2 linked regions of the Caenorhabditis elegans genome follow. The protein of the gene in region 2 binds, or shares a complex with, the protein of the main gene of each other region. Each region holds a gene or a part of one and is shown on either strand. Other genes may lie near its edges.

Region 1 (4,775 bases), on a different chromosome or scaffold from region 2:
CATACAGGCACATATGTTGGTAGGCACGTAGGCGTGACTACATGCAGATAATCAGGAAATCGCGTAGGCATGCAGGAGCGTACGTCTGAAATTGTGCACTCCTACCAAAAACTAAATGTACTCACTGGACGGTAAAGGGCCACGATACACCTAGAAATATTTAAATTCAAGTGAATACCAAAACAAGAACAAATTATGATAAAACATTGTTCACTTAAAAAACAGGATCTCTCGTCTATTTTTGTGGGGACGATCCCCACAAAACCGTTATAAAACATTGCTTCAAAAAACTACAAAAAATTCAATTTTCAGTCGATCCAGACGATCTTATTGCTGAAACCCATGTAAACGAAGACGGAACTTTCGAAGTATCTGGATTTGCAATTTCAATAACTGCAATTGATCCCCAACTACGTATATATCACAATTGTCGTTCATCTTCCAAAGTTTGTCGACGCAAGATTACTTTCACTGTCCCAGACAATTATGTGAACAAGGGGATGCAGGTAATTGATGATACTTCATACTCCATCAAAATAATTTTTCAGGTGAATAAGTGGTTTGACTTAGGAGTTCCTAACATGGAAATCGGTGTGAAGCACAAAGAGGAACCACATTGTTATTAAACTTGCTTGAAACCATTTTTTGTGTAATATATTAAAGTTCGCTTTGCTGGAAATCATTGTTCATTGGCTTTTTATAAAATAAGTCTAAACCACAGAAATAAATGTTAGAGTCATTTTTTTTTTCTTTTAATGAAAGCTAGTATTATTCACAGAATGATTATGCCAAAGGAGACTAAAGAACCGCCTTTTCAATGCCAGCACATTGCACGTGGAATCCTATCTTTTTGTTCTGAAAAAATGAAAAATAGAATAGCTCAGTAAAATTGACAGGACCTACCTCAATCTCGGCGATTTCCACTACCATCAGATCCAATATTTGCCGGATTCCAGCTTCCAATTGAGATCTCTTTTGTATGTGTTCTTCTCCAGTTGCAGACATTCTGGCGGTCTCATCTTCGATTTCTTTCTCGAGGCTTCCATCAAGTTTCATTTGCTTTAGAAGTACTTCTTTTTCATTCAATAGTTGTTCATATCGTTGTTCAATATGTTTGCGAGCATCTTTCCAGCTATCACGTTCGTTTCGACGAATTCGTTCTTCGCGAGCCTCATTCTTCTTCGCTTCACAGAGTGTTTCGCTTTGAATTTGGATTCTTTCTCTGAATTATTGTTTATAAATGTGTATATTATTAACATTCAATGGAACGGCGCTTAATTCGAGTACAACTTACTCTGCGGTAACTGCTTTATTTGAAAATCTTGACTGTTCAGTCTCAAGCTCAAGCTTTCTCTGATGCAACTGTCGGCTGATCTCTGGAACCCATATCTTGTTCAACGTCTCCCAGTAATCCTTAAGATCTCTGAAAATGTAGATTTGTGAATTTTTAATAAATTGTTAGAAATTTACCTTTCATTCGTTGGAGCTCTTAGTGGTTCAAGATTCATTTGAATATTAAGTCCACTGAGAATTTTCATGATTTGTTCTGCGAGATGAATGAATTTGGACTTTTGCTGAAACATACAAATTTGATTGTCATACAAGTATTTCCGTGAATGATAGGCATTCAACTTTCCAAAAACCTAGAATACCTCTTTGAAGAAGTCTTCATCTTTGAGTTTCCATGTTTCTTTTGATAGACGATCCAACTCGCTTTGAATTTCCAGTACCACCTCCTTGTCTTTATTATTGTCAAGATTCATTTGACGCACTTCTTTTCCTGTCAATCCGTGAATTTGTTTTTGCAACTCAATTTTGTTCTTCAGATCGTCCACCATCTTTTGCACTTTTTCATTTTCTGAAATTTTCTCCTCTTGCTCCGACTTCACCATAGCCAGTTCTTTCTCCATATGCTGCTTAACATGAAGATTTTGCTCGAGATAATCTTTAGCTTTTCGGATGTCGTCTCTGATTCTTGATATCTCTTCTTTTAAGCTTGCTTCGTTTCCTTTCTGAAAATAAAACTTCTTTAAAACAAAAGTATCGAAATTCTACTTACATCAGCCTCTATCTCATCACATTCGTAATTGAGCATCTCCAGAGCTGATGCAGCTGTTTTAGTCATATCCTCGAATTCATTGGATTGCTCGAAATACTTCCGTAGACGATGCTTCGTGTCGTCCCAGTATGAAGAACTGGGATTTTCTGCTGCTTTTCGATCATTTGTATAATCTCTGAATGTACTTGTCATCCATGCATAATTGAGCGTTTTTTCTTGAGCTTTTCCCTGTTCCATGAAATCACCGAACAGGATATTTTGTGTGTCCTCACTGACAGCAGAATTGATCTAAATGGTTAAATAAATAGGGATGAAAATAATAAAAAAATCAGTTACTAACTCTAATGATATCAATAAGCCAAGAAAGTGCGTCAAGAAGATGTGGATATCCATGAGAAGATCCCATTGGTTGGTAGTAGCTGTTTTTGAGTGGATACGGGTATCCAAGACCTTTGAATATCTGGGACACCTCCTCTTCAATCCGCTCATGCCGTGGAAATTCGTAGTCTTTACTGAGATGTTGGTAAATTAATTCGAAACAAGCAATGAAATCATTCTTTCCACGAGGTTTCATAATGAGCTGTTCTGATGGTGCATCCGAGCTTTCATATTCCACAAGAAAGTTGTAAATTTTGCTTCCATTTAAGCTGACCAATGATTTCACATCTCGCGGAGCAACTGATGAATTTTTAGTATTAAACAATGACACACGAGGTTGACTCAGACTGGGGCGAGCGTCAGTTCTGCAAATTAGATTAGTTCTTCATCGCACGAAATTGGATATTTTTACTTTCTGACTGATGTTGATCCAGTATAATCGGTGAATCTTTTAGTCGGAGTGATAGCGATTGAGGCACGTCCGTTGAGATTCAAGCCGCCCGTTTTTCTTCGATCTCCAAACATTGTCAAGAAACTGTAATGAGCGAATAAAATTGACCAGAACTGAATATACTAACGGAAGGCGACGCATATAAAATTTAAAAAAATAATTCTGGCAACTATTGAGAACTTTGTTTTCCAACTTAAAGAAGAAAAAACATTTTTACAGAAATATTTATGAAAAAAAAAACGAAAATAGAAATTTGAGTAAAAACAATATCGAGAGAGAGAGAGAGAAGTCACATTTGAATTTTCCCGCTATAGCAATTGTGATTGGAGCGCACTTACATTACAGAGACGCTGCACTCGCGAGGAAACTGATTTCCGGAGATTCCAGAATGAAGGAATTGTTGGAACTTTTGAGATATAATTTCAAACACGATTAATATACAATAGAATTGAATTTTCCTACAATGGTTAGATCATTTCCAGTCGGTATATTGATAAACAGAAGTTGCCCCTTAATATTTGCATTTTTGTAATTGAAGTTTCCAGCCAATAATTACGTCAAATTTTTTTTCTTCGAGAAACTGATATAGTTTACAATAATAAACCAGTATCTTTAACCAATGGAGTGATAACACAGAACTGGATCCTCTTATTCTTTCTCTTTTCTTTCTCCTTAACAAGAACAATTATACCAGTTCCAAGTAATAGCCATGGACGTCTCTAGTATAAAAACATCAGTTCTTTTGGAATTCTTCAGTCCATCACTCACCCTCCAACAGTAATCATGGACATCGACGCTCGTATCAAAGCTTATAAATTTGTTGCCTATTCGGCAGTCACCTTCTCGGTTGTCGCCGTTGTCTCTGTTTTCATCACATTGCCAATGGTTTATAACTATGTTAATAATGTGAAGAAACAGATTCACACTGATGTTAATTTCTGCAAGGTTTCTGCTCGTGATATCTGGAGTGAGGTGCATCTTATTAAGGATGCTCCAGGAAACAATACTCGTGTTGCTCGTCAAGCTTATTCCACTGGAGGAGCTGGAGGAGGCGGAGGCGGAGGTAAGGATCTTGGTTCACAGAGTTTAAGTATTTGAATACATTTTCAGGCGGCGGAGGATGTGATGGATGCTGCAATCCTGGACCACCAGGACCAGGTGGATCTCCCGGAAAACCAGGAAAGCCAGGAAAGCCAGGAGCTCCAGGAGCCCCAGGAAATCCAGGAAAAGGAGCATCAGCTCCATGTGAGCCAGTTACTCAACCACCATGCCAACCATGCCCAGGAGGACCACCAGGACCAGCTGGTCCAGCCGGACCACCAGGACCACCGGGACCAGATGGAAACCCAGGATCACCAGCCGGACCATCAGGCCCAGGACCAGCCGGACCACCAGGACCAGCAGGACCAGCCGGAAACGACGGAGCCCCAGGAGCCCCAGGAGGACCAGGAGAACCAGGAGCATCCGAGCAAGGAGGACCAGGAGAGCCAGGACCAGCTGGACCACCAGGACCAGCCGGACCAGCCGGAAATGACGGAGCCCCAGGAACCGGAGGACCAGGACCAGCTGGACCAAAGGGACCACCAGGAGCTGCTGGAGCACCAGGAGCTGACGGAAACCCAGGAGGACCAGGAACCGCTGGAAAGCCAGGAGGAGAAGGAGAGAAGGGAATCTGCCCCAAGTATTGTGCTATCGACGGAGGAGTCTTCTTTGAGGACGGAACCCGACGCCGCTAAATTTAGAAGCGTGCCGTTTGTGCCAAATAAAGCATTTTTCATTCAACTTCTTTGTTTATAACATCTACATACCACACGAAGAAATATTTTTAAAAACGTAATCCTCGAAATATGTTCAATAATTTTCCATTTTCAAAATTTCCGTTTATTT
Region 2 (4,221 bases):
TTCTTTTACATATATAAAACTAAAACATCATCATGTACTATGAATGCTCACCTGAGAGCACATCGAATGTACATCATCAGTGGAAGATCTTGTACCATTTGAATCATCTGGTCGAACTAATCTCTTACCCGAAAGGTCTAATGGTCTGAAAATTATAAAATCTGAAAAGAACATTATTTGAAAAAGCTTACTGCATAATTTGTAGAGTGAATTTTTCAGAAATACAATACAAAAATTGAGAAATGAACGAAAAATGTCAATGTTGAATGCAATAACTCGAGGCCCGCACGATTTATTTAAATTTATTTAGAATTTTGGTAGGATAATATTCAATTCAGAAGGACAATTCCAACTTGTAGAGCTAATGAGCGAAGAGAAGTTTAAAATTTCTGGAAAAGTTTTCATTTCAAGATAATTTTTTTTTCAAAAAACGTTTCAAAACTTCCGACTCTCACTTATTCCCTGTTTGAGCTTTCTCCAAAATAAGAAACCACGCCCACTTTTTGTCTTACTGTAGTCTTAAAGACGCAAACAAAAAAATACAAGGCAAAAAATTCAAAATTTCTAATTTTATTTTTAATTAAAAACAGAGGCACATAATCTCCCCGTAAATACCACTTGAGTGAATTCTTACCTGAAAAGTAAATTGGTGTGAAATTTCTAGAGCCTGGGAATGAAAAGAAAACATTTGAAAATAAAGACCACATGATTTATTTAGACTCAGTTAAAATTTTGTTATTGGTATGGAAGAAAGCATAACATTTACATTGAATAGAGATCAAATGAAGTGAAATTTTCGAGTTGAGTCATTCTATTTGAAAACGGAAAAACTCGAATCGTTAGGTTGTGGATCACAATTTTCCGTGTTCTCTCCGGCGTCGATTGTCGATGATCCGAATGTGTAATCACTCAGAAGGCGTCCGGTAAGAGAGCTTTTTAGACGTTCCATTTCACGTGCAGCTGCAGTGTTCTTCTCAAAAGCTACTTTCTGGGTTTCTTTGAACATTGCATTAAGTTTTGCGAATTTTGCAACAGCATCTTGGCAAGAGTTGGTGATTTGGGAAATCGTCTCACTGTGTGCGTTTTTTAGAGCGAGGAGTTCTTGCTTCTGAAAAAAATGTTGGTGAGTTTTATGAAGATTGATCTGACAAAAACCTTTTTAGCAATTTCCTGTGACACATCTGGCTGACTAGTTTTCAAATTTGCGATTTGCCTGAAAGATTTACATCGTTTAAAAAAATGTTTTCAAAGTATCAAATAAATTCCTCACTCGGTAATCTCCTCAATTCTACGCTGACGCTCTTCACTTTTCTGCGTGTGTTCTATACGCAATTGTTCATGAGTCTCCGACTGCTCGACGAGTCGCTTTTGTGCCGTTTCCATCTCCTTCATCATAAAATCCAATTGCTCCTCCATTTCCTTGAGCTTTCGAAGATTCTCACTTTCAACATCGATCAGGTCAATGATAACTTCTCGAACTTCAGTCCACTGATGGATCTTCTCAATAATCACTGGCACGTTCTTCTCCGAGTTGATGCAAATTTCACGAGCCTCGAGTTTTGCTTGAAGGCCTTTTCTGAAAATAATTACTTTTATTTTGAATTTTTGGAGAGACTGAAGATATATCAGTACTTTGATGATTCAAGACAATCGCGGAGCTCTTCAATGTGACGTTTCCTTTCCTCCATTTCTTGTTTCAGCTGTTCCGGCGATGTCAGAACTTCTTCATTCAAATGCTCAATTGTCTTTTTACCAGTTAGCATTTCCTTTTCGAGGGCTTGAATGTGCAGAATAGCTTCTTCTTTCTGCTTGTCGAGTTCTTCATTAATTTGACGAGTTTCGGTATATTCGTTCACAACATTTTTAAGTTCTGCCTTCGCATTGCTCTGTTCGTTGATTAATTCATGCTCATGACGTTTTCTTATGCTTTGTTTCGCGAGAAGATCATTTTTCTTCTTCTCGGCTTCTAACAACTCTTCCCGAATCTTTTCCATTTCGAACTTTCGATCACTGAACTCTTCGCTAATTTCATTGAACGCTGGAGTGGCCAATTCGTGAAGTTTCAGAAAATCTACAAGAAAACTTGTCAGCTTTCTGAATCGATGTTCGTGTTTTGCAGGTGTCACGAGATCGCACATCGTCAAGTCCAGCTTGTTGCCAGAATTATCTTTGATAAATGCTTTCCTGAAAAAATATTTCAGCAAATCTAACATTAAAATTAAAATCTTACATGCATTGGAAGAGAATAATGATAGGAATGCTCTTTTTATGCAATTCTGGATCATAATCACAGTTGGCGGACAGCGGAAGGGTCGTCAGCGAGCTTTCCGACACATTTAACACAAGCCTCACAAAATTAGCAAATATTTGTTGCGCTATTTCTGCCTGAAATCGGGTTATTTGTGCTGATGAATTCAATATTCTGTTCAAACTTACGGTTGGCTTGATAATGTCATCGGCGACAAGGCCCATATGCAATTTTTGACCAAGATACTTTGAAATCATCCGCGGATCATACACAATTAGTACAACGTTTGACATTTCTCCTGAAAAATGGAATTTCAGTTCTAAAAACACAAAAATAAAGTTAGAAATTGTTAAAAACAAAAAAGTTTATTTGAATTCGCCGAAGAGCGCGCCAAAACATGTGACATTTCTCGGCCGTGAAAACTAGGCCACCGCGGCCACAAACAAATTTTAGTTTTCTTCGCTGAAAAAAACATGTTTTTCAGTCTGAAATCAGAGTTTTTAGTATGAAACAAGATGGACGAGGCTTCCTGTAGATTTCCAGAATGGGTTTCTTCAAAAATCATCGATTATTACGCAGAGCAGGTAACATAAATCGCTGTGATGAAATAGGGACAAAATTTTTTTAATTTCAGAACATCAAAGCGCTGTTCGATTGGCAGATTGATGTGTTGAATGAGGCAAGACAATTTGAAGATCAACACTTGATATTCAGTGCGCCAACAAGTGCTGGGAAAAGCATTGTAGCTGAACTTTTATGTATTATTTTATCTGGTTTAAAGAATAAATGTTTAAAAACTGTAATTTTCAGCATGGAAAGTCGCTTCAACTGGTAGAAAGGTACTCTTCGTACTTCCTTATATCTCCGTGGCTCGAGAGAAACTTCATCAAATTCAACGGTGTTGGAGACGAGATGACATTTCTGTCTGTGGCTTCATTGGTCCACAGGCCTCAAATCCAAATGAGTGGCTTGGGGCAGTTTGTACCATCGAAAAAGCAGCAAGTTTGACAAATCGAGCATTATCAGAAGATTGGTTTGAGGAAATTGGTTAGATAAATCGATTTTAATTTAAAATTTTCACAAAAAGTAGCTTTCAGGAATGATAGTCGTTGATGAAATGCACATGGTTTTCGATTCGTCTCGTGGTGCACACATTGAGCACATGCTCTCGAAAGTTTTGCTCTGGAACCAATCTGCACTGGAAAAAGTTAGAATTATCGGAATGAGTGCAACTATTCCAGAACTTTATCGAATAGGCAAATGGCTGGACGGTGCGAAAGTTTTCGAAGCAAGATTTCGACCAATTGTTCTACAAAATCATATTGTAATTGGTTCGGAGTTGAGGAAATCTGGAGATAACAAAGTTCTAAGAGAATTCTCTGAAGATCCATTAATATTGCTTACCGAAGAGAGTTTTCGCCGCAATTCTCAGACTTTGGTAATGATTTCTTCGAAACTTGATGCCGAGAAGACTGCTTTGAATATTGCGTCGAGATTCCATGAGATCAATAAAACCGACAGCTCATTGTTGGAAATATTAAAAGAACGAGCCAATGGACTATTATTTATAAAGCATGGATTGGAACGGAATGGTTGCAAGGATCGGAATGTTATGTCAACACTTGCATGGGGAGTAGCATATCATCATGCTGGATTGACGATGGAGGAAAGAGAATGCATTGAACTAGGATTTCGGGAGAAAAATATTGTTATTCTTGTGGCTACAAGTACTTTGGCTTCAGGTGAGTGTTTTAAAATTTTAATTGTGGTCAACCGAAATATCGGAAGAAATTAAAAGCAAAATGTTTGTTGAAATATTTTTGGGGAAAAAATTAAATCAAACAATAATTTTCATTTAGGGTGAAGATTTGTTGATAAAAATTTACTTTAAACTTTCAAAAAATACTATTCACTCAAGAATTTCCAGTTGTTTGCTAATCCCGCTCTTCCCTTTTTTTTAAATCGAAAAGCGA

The links.
Region 1: him-10 (region 2) and ndc-80 share a complex: the UniProt entries of both Caenorhabditis elegans proteins name them as parts of the NDC80 complex.

Annotation. Positions count from the first base shown.
Region 1 is NC_003282.8:10,084,334-10,089,108, reverse strand, and holds ndc-80 (Kinetochore protein ndc-80), read right to left. Parts: upstream 2,973-4,775; 5' UTR 2,963-2,972; coding exon 2,850-2,962; intron 2,803-2,849; coding exon 2,400-2,802; intron 2,348-2,399; coding exon 2,060-2,347; intron 2,013-2,059; coding exon 1,653-2,012; intron 1,575-1,652; coding exon 1,471-1,574; intron 1,424-1,470; coding exon 1,295-1,423; intron 1,223-1,294; coding exon 904-1,222; intron 856-903; coding exon 799-855; 3' UTR 672-798; downstream 1-671. Other genes in the region: ttr-39 (Transthyretin-like family protein), read left to right, coding at 313-506, 549-626; col-2 (Cuticle collagen 2), read left to right, coding at 3,672-3,951, 3,999-4,624; W01B6.8 (uncharacterized protein), read left to right, coding at 4,736-4,775. UniProt on the Caenorhabditis elegans protein: Acts as a component of the essential kinetochore-associated ndc-80 complex, which is required for chromosome segregation in mitosis and meiosis and spindle checkpoint activity.
Region 2 is NC_003281.10:5,801,585-5,805,805, reverse strand, and holds him-10 (Kinetochore protein Nuf2 homolog), read right to left. Parts: upstream 2,547-4,221; 5' UTR 2,542-2,546; coding exon 2,437-2,541; intron 2,386-2,436; coding exon 2,231-2,385; intron 2,185-2,230; coding exon 1,633-2,184; intron 1,577-1,632; coding exon 1,271-1,576; intron 1,214-1,270; coding exon 1,156-1,213; intron 1,109-1,155; coding exon 812-1,108; 3' UTR 694-811; downstream 1-693. Other genes in the region: R12B2.3 (Ras-associating domain-containing protein), read right to left, coding at 52-145, 192-196; polq-1 (DNA polymerase theta), read left to right, coding at 2,764-2,832, 2,883-3,006, 3,059-3,295, 3,346-3,990. UniProt on the Caenorhabditis elegans protein: Acts as a component of the essential kinetochore-associated NDC80 complex, which is required for chromosome segregation in mitosis and meiosis and spindle checkpoint activity.